2 linked regions of the Arabidopsis thaliana genome follow. The protein of the gene in region 2 interacts with the protein of the main gene of each other region in a pairwise test. Each region holds a gene or a part of one and is shown on either strand. Other genes may lie near its edges. The genes, in order: UBP16 and SHM4.

What was found.
Region 1: the proteins of SHM4 (region 2) and UBP16 interact in binary tests that used the Arabidopsis thaliana proteins (3 or more experiments, as listed by UniProt).

Annotation. Positions count from the first base shown.
Region 1 is NC_003075.7:12,676,070-12,689,563, forward strand, and holds UBP16 (ubiquitin-specific protease 16), read right to left. Parts: upstream 8,908-13,494; 5' UTR 8,460-8,907; coding exon 8,179-8,459; intron 7,755-8,178; coding exon 6,473-7,754; intron 6,368-6,472; coding exon 6,282-6,367; intron 6,155-6,281; coding exon 6,069-6,154; intron 5,964-6,068; coding exon 5,801-5,963; intron 5,704-5,800; coding exon 5,580-5,703; intron 5,494-5,579; coding exon 5,336-5,493; intron 4,928-5,335; coding exon 4,843-4,927; intron 4,747-4,842; coding exon 4,537-4,746; intron 4,075-4,536; coding exon 4,013-4,074; intron 3,914-4,012; coding exon 3,424-3,913; 3' UTR 3,131-3,423; downstream 1-3,130. Other genes in the region: AT4G24550 (Clathrin adaptor complexes medium subunit family protein), read left to right, coding at 200-294, 365-568, 693-809, 877-1,005, 1,195-1,321, 1,634-1,734, 1,815-1,919, 2,015-2,109 and 4 more; DIC2 (dicarboxylate carrier 2), read left to right, coding at 10,477-11,418; REN1 (Rho GTPase activation protein (RhoGAP) with PH domain-containing protein), read right to left, coding at 11,810-12,130, 12,204-12,338, 12,421-12,484, 12,582-12,751, 12,838-12,951, 13,049-13,132, 13,244-13,304, 13,429-13,487. UniProt on the Arabidopsis thaliana protein: Recognizes and hydrolyzes the peptide bond at the C-terminal Gly of ubiquitin. Involved in the processing of poly-ubiquitin precursors as well as that of ubiquitinated proteins.
Region 2 is NC_003075.7:8,044,241-8,054,575, forward strand, and holds SHM4 (serine hydroxymethyltransferase 4), read right to left. Parts: upstream 5,918-10,335; 5' UTR 5,782-5,917; coding exon 5,104-5,781; intron 4,695-5,103; coding exon 4,304-4,694; intron 4,213-4,303; coding exon 4,111-4,212; intron 4,018-4,110; coding exon 3,773-4,017; 3' UTR 3,452-3,772; downstream 1-3,451. Other genes in the region: RLP50 (receptor like protein 50), read left to right, coding at 1-2,296. UniProt on the Arabidopsis thaliana protein: Catalyzes the interconversion of serine and glycine with the conversion of tetrahydrofolate (THF) into 5,10-methylene-THF.

The sequences.
Region 1 (13,494 bases), 4.6 Mb from region 2:
ACCAACATTTCTTATCCGATGACAAATTATGTTGAGCTGAATTTCCAAATCAGATTGTACAAATATAGCAAAACTATTCAATTAGTTTGGGCAGAGTATCTGTATGTAATGTAGTAGAAGAAAGCTATTTGTTTTGAGATTATACGATTTGGTTGGATCCAATACAAGTTTCAAGATGTGTAACGTTTTATTGCTACAGACCGGGCTGAGGTACCCAAAGGAAGTACAGAGACATTCTTCCGTAAAGTCAAGTTCTGGAAGGAGGATGGCAATGCAGAGGCGCCACCTATCTTTGTAGGTATTATACTTTCTGTTTGGTTGTGAGCTGTAATGATTTCATCTAACTTATTTTTTGTGCTTATAGAATGTCGATGGCGTGAACTACTTCCATGTCAAGGTTGTTGGTCTATATTTTGTTGCGACAACGAGAGTTAACGTGTCACCCTCTCTTGTTTTGGAGCTTCTACAAAGGATTGCTCGTGTTATTAAGGATTATCTTGGTGTTCTGAATGAAGATTCATTCAGGAAAAACTTTGTGCTCGTGTATGAGTTGCTTGATGAAGTTATTGTAAGTCTCGTCTTGATGTAGTTCTCATTGTTAGCATGTTTATATCTATATAGTAGCTATATTTGTTTATTTTCCCAGTTTTGATTTTTTTTTATTAAATAAGACTCTGTGCTCTTTTGATTAGGATTTTGGTTACGTGCAAACTACATCTACCGAAGTTTTGAAATCTTATATATTCAATGAGCCGATTGTGGTTTCTCCTGCCCGCCTTCAGCCTATTGATCCTGCTGCCATTTTCACAGTAAGATTGCTTTTCATTTTCCTCCTCCTGGTATATGTGACTGACCCCTTTAATTTATGCTATGCAGCAAGGAGCCAAAAGAATGCCTGGAACTGCAGTTACAAAATCGGTTGTGGCTAATGATCCTGGGGGTCGGAGAAGAGAGGAAATTTTTGTGGACATCATCGAGAAAATCAGTGTTACTTTTAGTTCAAGCGTGAGTAGTTACTTGCTTCTAGTTTATTATATCAAAAGTACAGAAGTCTTGGCATGTTCTCTTCTTGCCATATCAAACCACCCATTTCTGCGGATCAATGCTTTGTATTATGTCCTAATACATGTAGTTGCATCTTAATGTTAGTTTTCTTCATGGAAAATATCCATTATTTTTCTGATTTCTGAACAGGGATATATACTGACTTCTGAGATTGATGGCACCATTCAAATGAAGAGCTATCTTTCTGGTAATCCAGAAATCCGTTTAGCTCTTAATGAAGACCTAAACATAGGAAGAGGAGGGAGATCAGTATATGGTATTTCTTGTTTCACCCCTTTAAATCATCTTTATTATATTTGGAAGGAATCAACGTCATATTCTATCTTGTCTCACTCTTTGAAATCTTGGTGTCTCTTTCTGTGACATTTGGCGTTGACAATGCTTAAATGTCAACTAAGCTGTATGTTCCACTTACAAACTTCCCTCATAAGTCATAACCCAATTCGTAAATATATGTAGTTACTCTTGTAGCATTTTTTCTGCATCTTTGAGGCACATCAGTATCAACTGGGGATTGATCTATTAATACAATCTAACCCTTGGTAACATCACACTTGAAATGTTGCAGATTATAGGAGTTCTTCAGGTTCAGGGGTGATACTTGATGATTGTAACTTTCATGAGTCTGTTCGTCTGGATAGCTTCGATTCAGATAGAACTTTGTCCCTGGTGAGCGTCAAAATATTTAGTACAGAAAACATCTTGTAATAGCATGTTGTATTAGTCTTTAACTTGCGTTCTGTTTTCAGGTTCCACCAGATGGTGAATTTCCAGTAATGAATTACCGTATGACTCAGGAGTTCAAGCCTCCTTTTCATGTTAATACCTTGATTGAAGAGGCTGGACGTCTTAAGGTGAAATTTCATGCGTACATGTCTTCTGAGTCAGATAAAAACTGCGTATATTTCTTAATTGCTCTATAAATATTTTTCTGTTTGCTGAAATTTAGGCTGAAGTGATTATTAAAATACGCGCTGAGTTCCCTTCAGACATAATTGCAAACACAATCACTGTTCAGATGCCATTGCCAAATTATACTTCCAGGTACATAACTTTTTGATTGGTTTGTACAAGTGCATCACTGAGATATTGTACATGAGGAAGAGAATACGATGAATTTATTTAAATTCCAGCTATAGTGATATACCGAATTCTGAATCACACAAGAAATAGAATCAACGATTATGTTTATTGTGACAGGGCTAGTTTTGAGTTAGAACCCGGTGCTGCTGGACAGAGGACAGATTTCAAGGAATCCAACAAAATGCTTGAATGGAATTTAAAAAAGGCAAGTGTTAAATCTCTCACGTGGTTTGCTAGTTTAGGTATATATTGAACTGTATGTTGCTTCCATGAGCTAACTGTGGCATTCCAGATTGTTGGCGGGGGTGAGCATACACTGCGTGCAAAGCTTACATTTTCACAGGAATTTCATGGTTACCCTCTAAGACAAAAGTTTGTAATGTTTGTTCTCTCAGGGGAAAATAAAGCATTACTGATAATTCTCAATTCGTTGTAGGTAATATCACAAAGGAAGCAGGGCCAGTCAGCATGACGTTCACGATACCTATGTACAATGTTTCTAAACTTCAGGTAAGTAATATGCCGATTCTTGCATTGCCATTAACCGTCCTCTTCGATCATTAACGCTAATGAATTGGGTGATGCAGGTCAAATACTTGCAGATAGCAAAGAAATCAAGTAGTTATAATCCATATCGTTGGGTGAGATATGTGACACAGGCGAATTCTTATGTGGCTAGGATATGACCTGTTTTCAGATAATGTTTATCCTTCACTTGTATGTCTAAGTACTTTCTCTTTTCATTTTCGGATCACACTTGCTTCACAGTACTGTGTTGAATGTTGTCTCTTCTATTTGGATACTTTCTTGTTTCGGTATCAACATATATGGCTATATGCTTTTATTTTGTTTGCCCCTGAAAACATCATATGATCTCTTTTCTTGGAACTGGCAAAATTGCATCTTTTGGGATTTTTCTTGAATTTCTGAACTGAACTGAATCCAAAGATTCAAAGTTAAGCAAATTGCAAAAGAAATAAAGGTGCAACGATGAGACAATATTAGATTAGCTTTATTGATTGATTATAATAAAAGTCAAAACAACTTATTAACAAAGGTAAATTCCGTTCCATTACGTGATACAATTTCATGGGCAAAAACTCTCTTCCCCACTATACACTACTATATACCACCACTTCTCTCATTAACCACTTTCACCAAGCCTAAATACGGGTTGTTAATAAAACCACTCAATCTACGTGTAATCAAATCTACTTTCTTCTACTACTTTTGACTTAGTTGGGGCCAAGTGGACAAAAAACCATCTTGTTTCCCTTACCTTTCTCCTCCCAAGGGCAACTGATGTCTTGAGGTTCCGTAAGTTTCTGGAGAAGAACGACTGAGCGGCGAACGCCTTGTGAAGGGGGGAGAAGATGAGGAAGACGATGATGTTGGTGAGGGAGTCTCAGACTGTCCGTGAGCCCGTCCCTGATGATCTCCAAAAATGAAATCAGCAAAGTCGTCCATGCTTGTACTGTCTGTGCTACAAGAGCATTCATCTGAGTTGCTGTCAAAGAGAGATGAACTGTCACTCGCCGAGTCTTCTTCTAAAATCTTCTGCAGCCTCTGGAAACTAGAATAAAATGACTGTATATTGCCGGATCGACCACCACCAGGCGTGTTGGAAGACAACTCAGGACTTGAAGTAGACACAGACCGGGATATGGTACTTTTCTCATTAGCCTTAGGTAGTGGCACTCTGCTTTTTTTATTGGATGCTTCAGTTTTGGTACATACTGCTAATCTTGGAGGCGTTGGAGTGCACCTGCAGTCAATTCATTCGATATATACCATCATAAGTAACCAGATCGAGCATAATCCACAACTTTAAAGAGTGTGAGAGATGCATTATAATATTATTTACCTTGCGTAGAACAACATATACGCTCCCTTTGTCAAGATCCTTTCCACATCCGAAGTTACTACCTGACAATAATCAATGCACAACAGAGGAATTAAACATTGAAATTTTCTTCAAATGTATGATGCAGATATATGGATGATGACGAGAAGAGACCAGTCAATGAGTAGAAGCCAAAACATTTTCTCTCACAAAACCAATCCTACGACTCTTCAGACTACAACAAAGATAGAAACCCCAATGGAACCAGCTAGAATATCCTTTCTAGAAAACAACTTCAGCATATAAAAGGAAGGGGAAAATTATATAATACTTATCCATTCAAAATTTCAAACTAAGAAACTCATCACTGAAAAGGAAGAAGCAGAAAATTGTAAACCTAAAATGCTGTCATAGAAGTAAGATACTCCTAGTTAATTCCAAAGTTCATCAAATAACAAACTCAAGTAAAAAGGGAACAAAAAATCGAGCTTACTTATAAACTAATTCGCAAACAACATTCCATTGATAATATATGAGAAACTTACCGTGCTATCATCAGCCTTGTACCACTTATTTTGGTTTCTAATATAGCAGACATAATGGCCAGAAAATGCTGCATTCATTACATCCAAGTGAACAATAACTCCATAGAGTTTGTAGTCATGTGATTTTTCACTTCCCCCACTGACATATGGAGCCAAATCTAGAGTTTCTGGAAACCTAATCAACTTATTGAGCTTCCCGAATTTCCCTGCCTTTAAGAATCAAGTGTCGCAAAATTGTGAGAAACAAGAGAATCCAGATAGAACTAAACAGAAACAAACCGGGTATTCATTGAAGATATAAGTTACCTGGAATCGTTTTAGTGCAATGGTAAGGACATTCGGAGGCTCTGTTATTTTCAGCTTCTTTTTGGCTCTCTCATAGGATTTACAGCTGCTCACAGGAAAATAAAAAAATTGAGTAAGCACCCATCAATCATTGAATGTAAAATCGTACTGCCAGGATTTACATAAGAGGTTACAGGTGATTAGTTAAAACTACGCAAATGAAAGACCATGATAGTACTTCAAAAACATTCTGTCTTCATAAGCTAGAAGGGAATTTTATTGCAGCTGGTCGTGGAATCTAGGTATTGTAATTGAAATATATGAAAGGGAATACTTTGGCAGGCCATGAACTCTACTTCAGCTGCCCATGAACTTTAAATCAATCGGTATCATACCCAACTCAGAACCATATATAAAGCTCATGTAAAACTCTATCCTCAGAACCATGAAAAGATAATTCGAAATATCAAAGGACCACACGAAGTTCAACACATGGAAAGGAATGCTGACCAACCTGCCACATCTGTATTTGTTCTCTCCATCCAATATCTCAGTCCTTGTAAATCGACGCAAAGCATCATCCAGGGTGCTAATATCTCCATCAATCTCAACCGTTAGATCCATCATTTTCTCACGCAGCTCAGATTTTACTTGACATTTCATGCATTTAATCTGGCAGAGATCATAAGTACCAGGATTACAACTCCCTCCAAAACAAAGTAAAATGAGTAAAGTACAAATGTTGTAGGTAATGATACCTTTGACCGGAGGTATCCCCCAAATGTCAAACCAATAAGAGTTGTATCTTCTAATTTGCTACTCTTGGTCATATCATATTCAGATGCCTTAATGCACACAGACTGCATTGTATCGACAACAAACCTGCAAATTGCAAGGAAAATGAAATTAACACAGATCTTCCAGTTATAATAAAGATATATGCAACAAAGTTTGCTCAATTTCAGAAATGTCAGTTCACCTAAGGAATTCATGTGCATCTTCTTCCTTGCCATTCCCAAGAAAGATTCCAATATTCTGCAGCTGAGATAGCAAGCCATTAGGGGACAGTGGAGACTTCTCTTCTTTTGCCTTTACGACCAGCTTCTCAAACCCACAGGTGAAGCACTGTTCTTTTTTTGTACCTATAGTTAAACGACTTATTAAAGGCTTGATATATTGATGATAATAAAAAATAACCTTCCAAAATAAGCAGCAAAAAGAAAAAAGACTTAGAACCAGTGACGCACATGCTCTGGAATGAAATTGCTGGAGGAAGTATGTCGTCAGAGGAGGAGTGAACATAAGGCATTGAAAGACAACATTAGCAAAGCAGCTGCAAGAAACAGAGTATATTCTTGCATCAGCGAGTGTAAGCTACACATTTACTTTACATTTTTTACACCACAAGCTGAAGATTATAACAGCTAAAAACGACTAGAAAAAGAGGAAATTGGAATTACCTATTGCCAACGTTGATGAGGCCACAAGGCTGGAACTCAATTTTATATGTATACAGTTTAGCAAAGACTTCATATGGAAAGAGCCCCTGCATGTCACCAAAAGATTGATAAGAAAAATAGCTTTGCTGATTTGTTAATGTAGGAACTAAGTATTGCATAATGATGATAACATCCTAGAACTCAGTGATTACCTTATGACCATGTCTTCCTGCCATCTCATTTTCAGACTTCGGTCTGGTCCACTGGTCTACAACTTTCAGTACTGATGCCTTTAAACCACTTCTTCCATGTAGAGAATTTATATGCTGAACGACAGCACCATTCTGTTTCTGATGATCAAGAACTCTTACCGATTTTGCACCTAAAGGAGAATGCTTCATAAGATCAGCACACTTCTTGGTATTCGAGGCCTTGGATGCCAAAAGTTGGACTTCCCCAACCTTCAAAGGGGCCAACATAGAGCCATTTTCACTACTAGCGCTCTTTGACTTCGGAAGGGTCACATGGGACAAATTAGAAGAGTCCAAAGGACTCAGCGCATCAGTAGAAGAGGAAATTGGTAATGCAATTTCAGCTTCATCAAATCTTTTAGCATTTCTTTCTCTTAAGTTTACTCCATCAGATATATAACCAGTCCCCCTAGGAGCTTCTTTTAAAATGCTACTCCTCTGCTCAGAAACTTTAGCAGCTGAGGTGTCTCTAGAGGAGCCAGAGCCAAAGGAGAAATGCAGAGAGGAGTTACCAGGTCTACCAGATTTAGATTTAACACAAGAATCACTCACACGTTCGGCTGATCCAAGAGCCGTACCCCAAAAATCAGATGACTTCAGAGATGGGTCAGCTGATACTGGATGCCTATCCGTAACTAATGAGTGTAAGCTCCTTGATTGGCTCTGGTTCTGCCCAGCATCATCCTCAGGTTTATGTACACTTAATTTAGGCAGATTAGCGAGATTATCTACAGATTCAACCAAGTGCACAAATTTTGGAGACAACAGTTTGGATGGAGCATCTTCAATGGTGCTGAAACAGGTGTCTTCTGGCTCTACAGAGACATGAGCATCAAGTAGGGACTCTGATCTCTCGGATTCAGATGAACTGAAGCTCTCACAACGAGAAATCTCGTCGCCAGAGTCATTACGGGGGGAGGAGGAGAAGCCAGAAAACGAGGATCCAGATGTTTCAGCAACAGAAACAGCTTCTTCCTTATCTATAAGGTCATCTTTGTTATCTGCAATATCTCCATTCCCATCTTCAGGAGATCTGGCACGATTAGATAATAGTGATTCCCCGATTGGTATAGTAACTGGTTCTGGACCCACCAGTAAAGTTTCCTCAGGAGTATTTTGTCCATTTTCTTCTCCTAATCTCAAATCGGAATCACTCTCATCTTCACTATCATATACAATGGAAGCAGGATGACATTCATCTTTGTGACCTTGCCGCCAGTGAATGATTTGACATTTCCCGGAACTGGAAAAAAAATAACAAAAACGAAACAACTATCACTAAGATATGTAGGTAACGAAATTTCACATGCGCTAAGGGGAAAAGGTTGAAAATTTGATAGACATTATAGTACATTTCTTAAGCTATCTAATTGAAATAAATTCCTCAGCAGCACATAGTTAGTTACTCACAGATAAGCCATGAATCAAATACTAAACTTCCTCCCAAGCTAACTAATTACCCATAATTTTGTTAACATAGAAAAAGAAGTCAATTTTCTTAAATCTCTGATCCAGTATCGCTAAAGTTACAGAACTAACTTATATTCTTTGCCTACTAATCACTCCAATTCATCACGTCTCAGCAGAGAGTGCAGCAGATGCAATCATAACTCTAAGATCATACAACGTAATTTGGACATGGAGAAAGTGAGAGAATTTTTGCATACCAATATCGAACGGCTTTGCAGCGAGAGCAACGAGTCGTGGCAAGACAATAGCAAACAGGACAATGGAAGACATTAGAGACGGCAACAGAAGAGAACTCAACAGAGGCCTCTAGCTCAGCCCTGGCAGCCTCTTCAGAAGCATGAATAAGAAGTCTTCTAATCTCCTCCCTTCTTTGGGCAGCGACCCTCCATTTGTGACGAACAAAGAGACCGATCAAAGGTAAAACAAGAGAGACCACAAGGACTAGACTAGAAATCCCTAGATCCAAAACAAGGAGCATTTATCCTCCACCAGATGCACAAACAATTGGAAATAAATCTGAGCACCAACCATAGATTTCACCGGCGAATAAGCCGGGAACAGAGGTGACAGTGAGGATCAGTCCGGCGATTTAGCACATGCAGAGAGAGCGAGAGAGAGAAGCCAGGAATCGATGGAAGTTATAATTTTTTCGCTGGTGGGTAAGCTTCCAAAATGATGACCCAAGAAAATCCAAAGATGAGAAGGAATAAAGAAAACCCTAGAGAGCACAAGTTGGGTTTTCTATTGTTCTCTGGGAAAAAGTTGAAAAAATCTGGTGCTTCTGGTTTAGGGTTTCGAAAGAGGGCAAGAGTGGAGAGATTCTTCGGTAGAAGGACGAAGAAATTAGGAGGCAGTATATTACTTTTCTATACCAAGACGCTTTGCTTTTTCATTTTACCAGACCAGACAACCTTTTTTTTTTTTTGCTCTAACGTCATTTGGAAATCATATTTTTATTACCAGGAAGCCCTTCTTTTAAAAACAAAATAAGAATAATAGTTCAACGGAAATATGAATTTGCATGTTGACAATGATAAAAAGTTATGAATTAGTCAATTAAAAAAGTGTGTAAGTTATGTATTAGTCAATTAAAAAAGTGTGTATGATGGGATATTGTAGCTATCTATTATATATGTATATTTAGTGCCATTTTCGTGTCACACCATGTCTTCATTTTTATTTTTCTTTACCATGTGTTATACTTTTTTGTTATAAAAAGTTGATATATATATATTATCGCTTAACTTTTTTTAAGTAACTATAAAATGGGTATCATATATAACAAACATATATAAGTATTTTGCAATTTATGCGATATATAAAAATAAAATAAAATAAATCTACACGATTCTATATGTTATATTATAAAGATCACGCCATATTATTCTATCTATAAGAATACAACGTACGGGATTATATATGATAGACGATTGTATTTGCGGGACATTGAGATGTTTCCGAAAATAGTCATCAAATATCAAACCAGAATTTGATGTGAAAACACTAATTAAAACATATAATTGACAACTAGACTATATCATTTGTTAAGTTGAGCGTTGAAAGAAAATGAAAGAGTGTAGACTGTAGTATGTATGAGTTTCCCAAAGGATGGTGCTTGAATATTATTGGGAAGAGACTTTGGTTGGTTCGGTTGAATGAAGATTTTTACCTGCCATGTTGATAGAGAAAGGCAAATAAATGTAGGGGTCGATGTCTAACGTAAAGACTGGATCAACCAAGAGTCCTCCTCCTCGTCTTCACCAAAAAAAAAGAGTCCTCCTCGTGGAAACTTATTTCTTCTCCAGCCAAGATCTCATCTCATCTCTTCACTCTATGAAATATAAAGGAATCTTATGGTTTTTCTAAAAACTATAGTACGTCTATATACCAAAGGAAACAATATAAAATCAGTTAATCTGATAAATTTTGAGTAAATAATAAAGTTAACTTTGTACTTACCTATATCAAACTAATTCACAAAATAAAGTAATAATAACAAAGAATTTTTAGTAGATCCACAATATACACACACACTATGAGAAATCATAATAGAGAATTTTAATGATTTTGTCTAACTCATAGCAACAAGTCGCTTTGGCCGAGTGGTTAAGGCGTGTGCCTGCTAAGTACATGGGCTCTGCCCGCGAGAGTTCGAATCTCTCAGGCGACGTTTCTTTTGTTTTCGGCCATAAAGGAAAAAGCCCAATTAACACGTCTCGCTTATAAGCCCATAAAGCAAACAATGGGCTGTCTCTGTCTCACTCACACACGCGTTTTCCTACTTTTTGACTATTTTTATAACCGGCGGGTCTGACTTAATTAGGGTTTTCTTTAATAATCAGACACTCTCTCACTCGTTTCGTCAACATTGAACACAGACAAAACCGCGTCACAAAACAAAACTCGCTACAAATAAATACCTTTGTTTCCCTCTTCTTCTCCTTCACTCACAACATCTCAATTTCATTCTCTCTTCTCTCTCCAATTTCACAACAATGGGAGTCAAAAGTTTCGTTGAAGGTGGGATTGCCTCTGTAATCGCCGGTTGCTCTACTCACCCTCTCGATCTAATCAAGGTTCGTCTTCAGCTTCACGGTGAAGCACCTTCCACCACCACCGTCACTCTCCTCCGTCCAGCTCTCGCTTTCCCCAATTCTTCTCCTGCAGCTTTCCTGGAAACGACTTCTTCAGTCCCCAAAGTAGGACCGATCTCACTCGGAATCAACATAGTCAAATCGGAAGGCGCCGCCGCGTTATTCTCAGGAGTCTCCGCTACACTTCTCCGTCAGACGTTATATTCCACCACCAGGATGGGTCTATACGAAGTGCTTAAGAACAAATGGACTGATCCTGAGTCAGGGAAGTTGAATCTGAGTAGGAAGATCGGTGCAGGGCTAGTCGCTGGTGGAATCGGAGCCGCCGTTGGAAATCCAGCTGACGTGGCGATGGTTAGGATGCAAGCTGACGGGAGGTTACCTTTAGCGCAACGTCGTAACTACGCCGGAGTAGGAGACGCAATCAGGAGCATGGTTAAGGGAGAAGGCGTAACGAGCTTGTGGCGAGGCTCGGCGTTGACGATTAACCGAGCGATGATTGTGACGGCGGCTCAGCTAGCGTCTTACGATCAGTTCAAGGAAGGGATATTGGAGAATGGTGTGATGAATGATGGGCTAGGGACTCACGTGGTAGCGAGTTTTGCGGCGGGGTTTGTTGCTTCGGTTGCGTCTAATCCGGTGGATGTGATAAAGACGAGAGTGATGAATATGAAGGTGGGAGCGTACGACGGCGCGTGGGATTGTGCGGTGAAGACGGTTAAAGCGGAAGGAGCCATGGCTCTTTATAAAGGCTTTGTTCCTACAGTTTGTAGGCAAGGTCCTTTCACTGTTGTTCTCTTCGTTACGTTGGAGCAAGTTAGGAAGCTGCTTCGAGATTTTTGATACCATTCTTTTATTGATGATGATGATGGCGACTATTTATATTGATTTATTCATTTTTGAAATAGTGAACACAAGAAGGAACTAGGAAGAGGGGGATTCAATATATTTTTTGTTCAAGCATTGTTGTTAAATACAATTCAATTTTAGTTTCTATACTGATGTGAAATGTCACTACCAAAACAACAGATCCAACGCACAGTTAAAACACAACAAAAAAAGAGAGTGTAGTTTATTTGGTCTTAAAAAAATGCTGAAGCAAGATAAGAATGAGACTAAAAAGAAGAAAGAATCTGTTATTTGGTTGTTGGGGGGTGACGAATAAGCATAACTGGAGGTGGTGTTGTTAAATGGCGGCTGTACATCTGAGGGAAGGGGTTGTTGATAAAGAGTATCATCTGGAGAAGGTCCTTGGTGTAGTGTTGGGATGGTTTCCTCCAGATGATCCTCTGCCTCTGTCTCCTCCGTTCTCGGATCTTCCTCTGTCAAGAATGTGAGGGCTCTGTAGTTTGCTGCTGTCTGGATCCTGGTTCGACCCTGATCCTTTTTCAGTTTCCTCTGATACACGGTTTTGTCCCGAGGTTGGACTGGGTTGCCCTAGGGTTTTTCCTTTGTCCATGTTTTGGAGCTCGTTCGCGATCTGACTACGTCTCTCCTTGAGGAAGTTGAGTCTCATTGTCAATTTGGAAAGTGCAGAAGTTGTTGTTGTGCTTCCCTGTTTATTTCACTCAGTTTCTAGCTTTGAACGATATTTGGATGAAATTTAATGGTTACACTATGAAACTTACCTCTCCCTTTGTGCCAGACCTCTTTGACAAGCCCACCAGTTTTGAGCTGCCACGTGATGTTTCTTGTTGCGAGCTTTTGCTCCGTGAATCCTGTTGCTTCTCTGTCTCATTTTCTCTTGCAGCCCCTTGCCCATCCTGCAATATGTTACCCGTCTGTAGAGGATAAATACAGAGGAAGAAAACACAAAATTGATAGACAAATGTTTACAGTGGTTACCTTGGACGTTGATCTTTCAGAAATGTGAGTAGAGGCTGCTTCAGTATCTTTTTGTTTCTCCTTCCTGAGTGACAAATTTGAAAGAAGACGAGTAATTAGCTTTGATATTATTTAAACCATAGGTTGTGAGGTTAAATGTGAATCTGTTGATGAATCCGTACATCTTCGCATTGTGCTCTGGCAATTTCCGAGATTCTTTGCTGGCACTATGCGTAGAACCAGAGGCTTTTCCGTCATGGTGACCAAGCCTATTTTCAAGATCATCAACCTTATGTTCCAACTTGGCAATATCAGCCTCCGCTTGAGCTACCTCTTGCAGATCTTTCTTCAACTGTAAAATGTCTCCCAAGTTAGATATATGTACTTTTAGCCTGACAAAAATCAACTAGTTGCTAGACAAAAATGAAGAGGAGCAACATTTTCATCGATTGTTTCTGGAATAGGTTGATTCCCTTTTGACATGTTCAGTCCTGTTTCCAGAGCTAATTTCCTGTCTCTCTCTTGCTGCAACTGTTCTTGTAGTCTTCCCACCTAGTCAAAGGTAAAGCACATTCATATAACTAAAATTTAAACACTCAATAAATAACAAACTTCACATTGCTAAGATAAGGTTTTATTTTACACTTACATCTTGCTCTAGTGCTTGGCGCCGCCCGTACAAAGCCTTCTTCCGTCGCTCCAAACTAGCCTGTAGAACTGCATTGCTTTTTACCTGTTGTACCAAACATGGAGGTTGTTAGAGATCACATACTCGTCAAAATCACCACCTGTATAGCACACCGAGTTCGCAAAAGCAAAAATACTCAAAAGGACTTATCGTGACCTCTTCTGTAATTCTGCTTTGCAGCTCTAATTTGGTTGACTCAAGTCTCTCAATGTCAGCACTGCAGAATATTAACATTGTCAGAAGAAGAACCATGTAGACCACATTAATTCTAGTCCAAACAAATTTGAAGTTTTGAAAGAAACATAAAGATGTAAATCATTTGTAGAGATGATGATACTTACTTGTCCTCGTCCACTTCCACTGAGAAATCAATAGATTCCATTGACAAGTTTTTCTTCCCCTGAGCA
Region 2 (10,335 bases):
CTTCAAATATTTGAGAGTTTTGAACCTCCTTGGTTGCAATCTCTTTGGAGAGATTCCTACATCACTTAGAAGTCTTTCTTACCTCACTGATCTTGATCTTTCTTATAATGATGATCTCACCGGTGAGATACTGGATTCGATGGGCAATCTCAAACATTTGAGGGTTTTGAGTCTTACTAGTTGCAAATTCACCGGAAAGATTCCTTCTTCACTCGGAAATCTTACTTATCTCACTGATCTTGATCTTTCTTGGAATTATTTCACCGGTGAGTTACCAGATTCGATGGGCAATCTCAAATCTTTGAGGGTTTTGAATCTTCATCGTTGCAATTTCTTTGGAAAGATTCCTACTTCACTCGGAAGTCTTTCTAATCTCACTGATCTTGATATTTCTAAAAATGAGTTCACCAGTGAAGGACCAGATTCGATGAGCAGCCTAAACCGACTAACAGATTTTCAACTTATGCTACTCAACTTGAGCTCACTCACCAATGTCGACCTTAGTTCTAACCAGTTCAAAGCTATGCTCCCATCTAACATGAGTAGCCTTTCCAAACTGGAGGCTTTTGATATTAGTGGAAATTCATTTTCTGGAACCATCCCCTCTTCTCTCTTCATGCTCCCTTCGTTGATTAAACTTGACCTGGGAACAAACGACTTCAGCGGTCCACTTAAGATTGGGAATATCTCTTCACCATCTAACCTTCAAGAATTATACATTGGAGAAAACAATATCAATGGGCCAATTCCAAGATCTATATTGAAACTAGTCGGGCTTTCGGCTCTTAGCCTCTCTTTCTGGGACACAGGAGGCATTGTTGATTTCAGCATCTTCTTGCAGCTCAAGTCTCTTAGGTCACTTGATCTTTCAGGGATTAATTTGAATATCAGTTCATCGCACCATCTTCCCTCACATATGATGCACTTGATTTTATCATCCTGCAATATTTCTCAGTTTCCTAAGTTTCTGGAAAACCAAACCAGTTTGTATCATTTAGACATCTCTGCCAATCAAATTGAAGGCCAAGTACCAGAATGGTTATGGAGACTACCAACGTTGAGGTATGTAAACATTGCTCAGAATGCCTTCAGTGGAGAACTAACTATGTTACCAAATCCTATCTATAGCTTTATAGCCTCTGATAATAAGTTTTCAGGAGAGATTCCTAGAGCAGTATGCGAAATTGGGACACTTGTTTTGTCCAACAACAACTTCAGCGGTTCTATTCCCCCGTGTTTTGAGATTTCCAATAAAACTCTTTCGATCTTGCATCTTCGAAATAACAGTCTCTCTGGTGTTATTCCAGAGGAATCTCTGCATGGTTACTTGAGATCACTAGATGTTGGTAGCAACCGGTTATCAGGACAATTTCCCAAGTCACTGATCAACTGCAGTTATCTCCAGTTTCTGAACGTGGAAGAGAACCGAATCAATGACACATTTCCATCCTGGTTGAAATCATTGCCCAATCTACAGCTGCTTGTCCTTCGTTCTAACGAGTTCCATGGGCCAATATTTTCTCCTGGAGATTCTTTAAGTTTCTCCAAACTACGATTTTTTGACATTTCAGAAAATCGCTTCAGTGGAGTCTTGCCATCAGATTACTTTGTTGGTTGGAGTGTAATGTCATCGTTTGTAGACATTATTGATAATACGCCTGGATTTACGGTTGTAGGAGATGACCAAGAATCCTTTCATAAATCTGTGGTTCTGACGATCAAAGGATTGAATATGGAACTGGTAGGGAGTGGTTTCGAAATCTACAAGACCATCGATGTCTCCGGAAACAGACTTGAAGGAGATATTCCAGAATCCATCGGTATACTCAAGGAACTGATTGTGCTCAACATGTCAAACAACGCATTCACAGGCCATATTCCACCATCTCTATCAAACTTGAGCAATCTCCAATCATTGGATCTATCTCAAAACAGATTATCCGGCAGTATCCCAGGAGAGCTCGGGGAACTCACATTTCTAGCGCGGATGAACTTCTCTTACAACATGCTTGAAGGTCCAATACCACAAGGCACTCAGATTCAAAGCCAGAACAGTTCTTCTTTCGCAGAGAATCCCGGGCTTTGCGGTGCTCCTCTCCAAAAAAAATGCGGTGGAGAAGAAGAAGAAGATAAAGAAAAGGAAGAGAAAGATAAAGGATTAAGCTGGGTAGCAGCTGCAATAGGCTATGTACCTGGTTTGTTTTGTGGACTTGCCATCGGCCACATTCTCACTTCATATAAACGTGACTGGTTCATGAGAATCTTTTCCTGCTTTTCTTCTCCGCTGAAAAAATGATCAATAATAAGTGTCTTCTCTTTTATAGTATTGTTTGGGTCTCTCATCTTGAGAATCTGTCTTTCTGTTGAGTTACTTTTATCTATTGTGTCGCTGAACAACTGCAACTTTCCCCGGGAGAACACCTGAACATCCCAAATTTTCACGAATTATCATTTAGATCACACTGGAACTTCTCTAAAGGATAATGCATATGAAAAGCTGCAGCAATGAGATTCGAGACTATACAAAACTGGACAAGTGAGACATCTAAACTTTCTTCCGACCATTTACAAAGGAGACAACAAGCATATTAAGCTCTTCCGTATCTAAAGACAACATATCCATAGAGATGAAAAAAAATCACACCATCAGATGAATTTGATTGCACATTGCATACTTAAAGACCGCAATCGAAATAGATGAAACTTGCAAACAGACCGAGATAAGACCCTAATAGCATGAACTGAGAGGTGCTTTCAAAGTAAGACATTGATGTTAAACATAATACCTTTTTAAAAAACTTGGTCTTCACTCAATATCATCTCTATTGGTATCAAGAACCTTAAGAAGCTGCATTTCTCACTTATCAACCTCACTAGCTAGATTTAGCTGCAACAAACAAGTCAATAACCAACGGATAGATTGCTTAGCTACAGAATCATATTTGCACACAAGTGGAGAACGTTAACATCATCATTGTAGTGACAAAAACCTTAATAAATGGATTGGGGTATGAACAATTGAGAAAATAACAACTTTGGAAATCGAATCAGATGGGGAAAAAGTTGATAAAACAAATGAATTGAGATCACCAAGAACCCAGAAATTTCTAAGCGATAAGAAATTCGAAAATAATAGCTAAAGATCTCTAGGGAGACTGATGAATCCACTTTTCCATCTTTACCTCGACAATCGGTTATAAGCTGCAGAAGAAGTGATGTAATGATGCATCTGGCGAGGGAAATTGGGGATTTCAATTGGATGTTCGTGTTCATGGCCGGAGCTCGTATCACGTACGGTCGGAGTAGCGTAACAAGAAGAATGGGAGAGATAGGAAGCTTCGCTGGCGTCGATAGCGAGAAGCTCTTCCTCTGTATAAATCTTCGTCGTCGTCGTCCCAACTTACGATATTTCTTTCTTTACTTTTCGTAAAACTTTCTTTTTTTTTTGCATTTACAAGAATTCCTTAGTTGAGTACAAATAATTCAATCTATGAAACTAAAACCCATACAAACACACCGTATTTAATTGAAACAGTGGAAAGAAAAACTCGCTGATATTATTAGAAAAAAGCCAACAAAAATACAACAATTTCAATAAGAAACCAAAAGAAAAAGAAAAAAAACATTCAAGAAGAAATAGCTGAAAAGAAAACCCTTTTTTTTTACTGTTTGCATCTTCATCTCTTCGCCTTTAAGGCGATCCTACAAAAGCATATTTTATATATATGGTAGATAATAATAGAAGATTACTCTTGCATATAGAGAAAGATCTCTAATCCTTGTACTTCATCTCAGACATGAGGAATCCAGGCATCTCATAAGACGCCGAGAACTTCTCGACATCAGCCTTGAGCTGATCGAGATCTTTGTTGTTCACCAAACCCTTGTTGAAGTCCTTCAACAACTTACCGTATGTCTTTTGGATGTCCAACGTCAGTGTCACTGCACGGCTCAGGAATTCTCCTATCTGCTCAAAGTCCTTCTCCACCAATCCTCTCGATGTCATCGCGGGTGCACCTACACAAACACATATATATTTATATGTTAGCAAGATCCCACAAATGAGATTCAATGGCCATTGTCAAGAACATTTCAGAATTTCCCTCTTACCGATTCTTACACCTCCAGGAGCAAGAGCACTACTGTCTCCAAATACTGCGTTCTTGTTCAATGTAATGCTGCACAGATCGCAGAGCTTCTCAACCTTGTTTCCTGACAGAAGAATATATAAACATCAGGACTAGTTCCAGAAACCATAGGGTCGCAAAAGTGGGTTTTTTTCTCTGAGATATAATTCACTCACCGGTCAATCCAAGAGGGCGAAGATCCCAGAGAACAAGGTGGTTCTCAGTTCCATTGGTCACAATCTGGTAACCCTTGCTCATTAGGTAGTTTCCAAGGGCAACAGCATTGGCTTTCACTTGTTTTGCGTAGACCTTGAACCCAGGAGTATTAGCCTGCTTCAACGCAACAGCTAGAGCACCAATCTGGTGATTGTGAGGACCACCTTGAAGCGCAGGGAATACAGCAAAGTTGATTTTGTCCTCAAAATCATAGACTGCACCCTCGGGTTGACCCTTCTTTGGTGGTTTTGGACCCTTCCTGTAGAAAATCATACCAGCCCTTGGACCCCTCAAACTCTTGTGGGTTGTGGTTGTCACAACGTCACAGTACTCAAATGGGTTTGCAGCTTCCTGTAAATATGATTAAAACTCAATCAGTTCTGTCGGTGAATGCAAAAAAAAAAAAAAAAAACTCAATCTTGGCAAGTAACATTAGAGTAATCCCCAAACTTCATCAGGCTAATAGGTTGGTTTTAGTTACTGAAAAGAATTGAATCTCATCCTGTGTTCACTTAAACATTCTTATAGGAGTTAAACTATAAACTAGGAGACTAAAATGAGACGGCACAAGTAAAATCAAACGACTTTAACAATGTGATATGATTCGTTCTTGGGAAGAAGAACATTTGATAACCCTGAAAACACTAGACTTGACACAATGAATGCAGATCTTCGTTCTAAACAATTCATAATGCTAAAACAAAACCAGATCTACATGAAACACAATATCAATACAAATGAGAATAGGCTTATAATATACCTGAGCAGCAACGAGACCACTGATGTGAGCCATGTCACAAAGCAAAAGAGCTCCAACCTTATCAGCAATAGCTCTAAATCTAGCGTAATCCCAATCCCTAGGATACGCACTACCACCACAGATAAGCAACTTAGGCCTGAAATCCAACGCCTTCTCTTCAAGCTTATCGTAATCAATGTAACCAGTGGTGAAATTCACCTTATACGGAAGACTCTCAAAGTAGATCGAAGTCGCAGAGATCTTCTTACCACCAGATGTATAGTAACCATGAGTCAAATGACCACCTGAAGGCAAATCAAGCCCCATGATACGATCGTGAGGCTGAAGCAAAGCCGTGTAAGCAGCGAAATTTGCCGGAGATCCAGAATACGGCTGAACATTAACGCCCCACGCTGCTGGATCACAATGGAAAGCTTCGAGAGCTCTTGAACGGCAAAGATTCTCGATCTCATCGATGAATTCGTTACCTCCGTAATAACGATTACCAGGAATACCTTCGGAGTATTTGTTGGTTAAGGCACTTCCGAGAGCTTCGATGACGGCGAAGGAAGTGAAATTCTCGGAAGCGATAAGTTCGATTCCTCGACATTGCCGACGTTTCTCCTTCTCGATTAGGTCGTGGATCTCTGGATCTACGGAGACGAGAGAGGTGTTACCCCATGAAGAGACTGGTTCCATCTTCTTTGTAGATTGTTGAATGGATCTGAGATCGGAGAAAGAGGGAGGGAGAGATCTGAGATCAGAGAGTGAGAAGTGGGAAGAGAGGCGGTTGGGTTTAAAAGAGGAGTAGAAAATGGGGTAAATTACGGATTTGTCCTCCTTTGCTAATTTTGGTGTTAGTTGGTTAGGTGTGTGTGGTAGGAGAACAAGCTTAGTGTGTTTTGACTATTTTACCCTCTTACCAATATTTGTTTCCCTTAATTAATTATGATTAGATGGATACTTAAGGCCCAATTGCATTTAAGGTTGTGTTGGGTAAATCTCTCTCTCGGATTATTTTTATTTTTTTGACATCAGAAATTGAATTTGTTGGTAGAAAATAAAAAGTAATTACAAACAAAAATATAATCTATTGATTCCAAAAAAAAAAAAAAAACTGTATAAATCCCTATAAATCGGAGGAATTAAAATTGGAAAAAGGGCTTTGAGGGCCCATGATCTTGATTCAGCCCAGTGTTTTAGATAGGAGTAATTACATTTTAATAAGAAACTCTATAGTTTTTCATAGTTTAACCTTTCAAAACTCAAATGGTCGTACATCTGGTGTAAATAAGATGTATTATGTGTTAACAATGCAAAGGTAATTAAACCAACGTCAACATTGTCGACCACAAAATTTTCATCTATGTTGTGAAGATTTCAACAATTTATCCGCTTCAATATTATGTGATTAACCCCTTAAATGTTAATAATGTATTTTTTAAAGCTTTTTCACAAAGGAAGTATTCACGATGAATTTAAACATATGAATTTTGCGGATAAAAATAGTCTCTCACATATCTCCAAGCTAAATAAAACTTTATACGGTCTTAAACGAAACACTTGAAAACGGATAACGCAAAATTAAAATTGTATTTTCATAGTAATCTGATTTTAAAGTTACTTGCGGATGAATCTTAGTTCATATTCATCAATCATCACTAAGAATCACGAAGTCACCGTACCCTCTATATGACTATATCCTTGTTTATGTTTACGTTATAATTTTCAATGACAACTCATCATATGTGTAACCGTACCCTCTATAAGACTATATCCTTGTTTATGTTTATGTTATAATTTCAGTGACAACTCATCATATGTGTAACTACAGCATCACTTTGCCTCACTATTCATTATCCCAACATTATAAGAAATTGGTGGTCTTTGCTTAGCATCCTGACTAGATCACTTAATCGATACCATATCCAAATTAACATCACATTATAGTTAGAGAACATATCCAACTCTTTCGCCCATTTTGCTTATGTTGAAAATGCCAAATGAAATGTGTACAAATTGTTATTTTTCGATACTCTCAGTTTCTAATGAGAAAAAATAAGTTTGTTATTCCACTAAAGTCTTAGATATTCTCTGTCACAAATTTTATAATTTAGCATATGAAAAGAGCCATTAAACACACATTTTTATAAACAAGAAATAGTTGGTAGCCTCCCTTTGAAACCTTTTTTCGTGGACATACTAATTAACTAACTACACGATTGAGGAGTTGTTATGGTTAACAAATTTATTTATTATTATTGCATCGTGCCCTCGGTTGATCAAAGAATATTAAGTATTTAATATTTGCTAGAGAATGGCATGATCATGGGGTTTGGAGAGGAGAGTAGGTGGTTTTGTATGCATGTGAGTCGGTGAGGGTCAAAATCGTCTTTTCAATTTAAGATTTGATTATGTGGTCATTAAATAGTAACGTAGTGCCTAGTGGTATTGGCAGATCTGAGGTCAACATGTGATGTGACGAAGATCTTCATTTTCTTCGTAAACACACAGAATACTGAAGTTAGAAAAATGTCTTTTTCAGGTAATATTTACTCAGTAAAGAAAAAAGGCTGGTAAAAGTAAACTTTTAAGTTTGAACGTTAAAGTCAATTTAATAGTGTTTATTTATTTATTCGACATGTAGAAAATTAAACGATCTACGTAAAATATGAATACAAAAATATTAAATATTAGAATAAAGTGAGAGTATGTGTAAATCACGTTTTGGTGAATTTTTTCCATGTGGTAGAATAATAGAGGAGGACTTTTGTTGTAAAGTAAGCTTCACCAACCTCGATTTTTAGACCTGTATAATTGGAAACCCACCTACCTCCGCAAATACAACGAAAAGTATTGTCTTATAATACTTTCTTAATTAAATAACAATTCTTTTGGAGTCATATCATATATATACTCCTATTGTGGTGTCGACATGGTGACATACTACATAATGAAACCGGTGAGATTATTCTTCTGCTAAACTTGTATGATGACCGGTGAGATTATTCCTAAAATATATTAAAACCTAGAATGAATTCTTTCTTTTATACGTCATGGTTTGCTTACAAAAAGAAATGAAATACCAAATTTTCACGTTTTTCAAATAATTGTGTTGTCTTTTTCTGTTTTGAAAAATAGTTTTACCGGTATGTTATCACATTTAAAAATTTTAATAAATACTTCTCATATACTGAAAGAAGTAATATATTTTTATATCATATTTTATTATTTTCGATCGATTTCCAATAGAAACAATTTCGATAAAATTACATTTTTTTGTAAATAATATATAAATTTTTTGTAGATTACATTAATAGAACTGCTGAAAATGGTCTTTAAATCCTCTTCCTCTTCAACATTTTTCCAAATTTGACATTTTGACTCCGAATCTCACTTATAAGTTGTAATAATAATGTTCATTAGTGCATTAGTTTCCTCCTTCGTTGCCCAACAAAAGAATAAGCTATCATTGACAGTTTTATGATATTCGGAGTTCCAAAATCATTTTTCGAAACTCGGCCTTTTAAGGCATTTGGATCAAAACTTCGGTGCATATACTAAAAACATATGGATATATCGGGTTGAGTCGCCTCGTAGAATTCCTCGAGAAGATATATATTTTGACTTGGTGCTGGCCATTTGTAAGAATAGCATAAGCCACCAGTCACCAAGATTATTCATCGTAAATTGTAACAAACTCACCATTATTTGGAGAGCCCAAAGATACTACTCAATCTTCTTACCATAAACTTTTGTCACTGTCTTATAAGCTATAAGATTACTGGTCTACTTAACTCAGAAATATTTATGTCCTTTGTAGCCAAAAGCTACACTGAAATTGACACAACTCGAGTGTTGTCCTTTTCTGGTCGATTGAATAGAATCGAATGTCTTAATCCAGTACCCTCCAGCTTTTATTTCGTGTAATTTATTTTCCAAACCTACCACTACCAGTTTCATAACTCTCGAATAAATTTATCAAATAGTCTTTTGAGTGCTCAAAGTCTTGGGATAATAAATGGTCAGTGCTATGTATCACCCGGATGTGAAACATTATGGGTGGAGATAGACTATTATAAATTTATTGAAATATACGATTGTTACTCGTTTAATAGCAAAAGTAGTACAATGTATATAGTTTCTATCGAGAACAAGATCTATTTAAAATTCGAAAAGTACATTTAAAATTCATAAACATATAAAGATAGTAACATGTTAGATCTGCATAGTACCACCAAAACAAGAAAAAAGAAACGCACATCGCCACATAATTGCTATGATTCTCACTGTCGGCTGCTTTGAAATATTACGATTCTTTTGGTAAATCACACAACATAATATAATTACAATAAATATATATATACTAAAGTATAATTAATATAATTAATACCACATTGTTTAATTCTGTTTTGATCTTTTAAGATCAGTCAGATCCACCGACGTTCCTACACGCGCAGGTCCAGATCCAAACAGCACACACACACACACAATGCCACTAGTGTAAATGCTTGGTGGCTATTGCATTTGCACCTATTGATACTCTTTCTTCAAAAACAAGTTATTGTTTTTATTTTCAACCCAACTTTAATACGGATTCATACTGGGATTTAGGTGTTAAATCTGATAATTTAGGTTTGAATAAGTTGTATATTTGTTTCTTTGATTAAAAAAAGAACCTATATATATACAAAAATAAATAAAAAGTTCTAGATTTCAATTTTCCGTATATAGCGGGTTGAATTGTCTATTTTAATATGAAAATTGACGGATCTTATAAACAAAATGTTCTGAAATATGTAAAAGGATTTAGCCAAAGTTAACCAAAAAAAAAAAACAAACAGAAAAGTCACATTCACATGTCGTGGTAGATCTAAGGCATTAATTTAGAAATATGTCGTTACAATAAGCGGAGAACATGGGACGTTTCTCGTGGTCCAATCAGACGAACGAGATCTCATAAATTAAATGACTTCAGACGAGGGAATTCATGGCAGAATGATAATGCAACTTAAGTGACTTTAGAGTGAAAATGATACGAGAACAATGCATAATCCATATGACCGTTGAGTGAGTGATACCATTAGCGCGATACAAGCGGGACTATAAACTGATCTAGATTGTTTTTCTTGGGAAAAAATGTTACAAATTTTAAATATGTAGTTTGAATTGTTAAACCAAGATTCAACAGAAATATACCGTAAATAAACAACAGTTGATAATAGTCATCGAAAAGATATCAACTGATTCTTC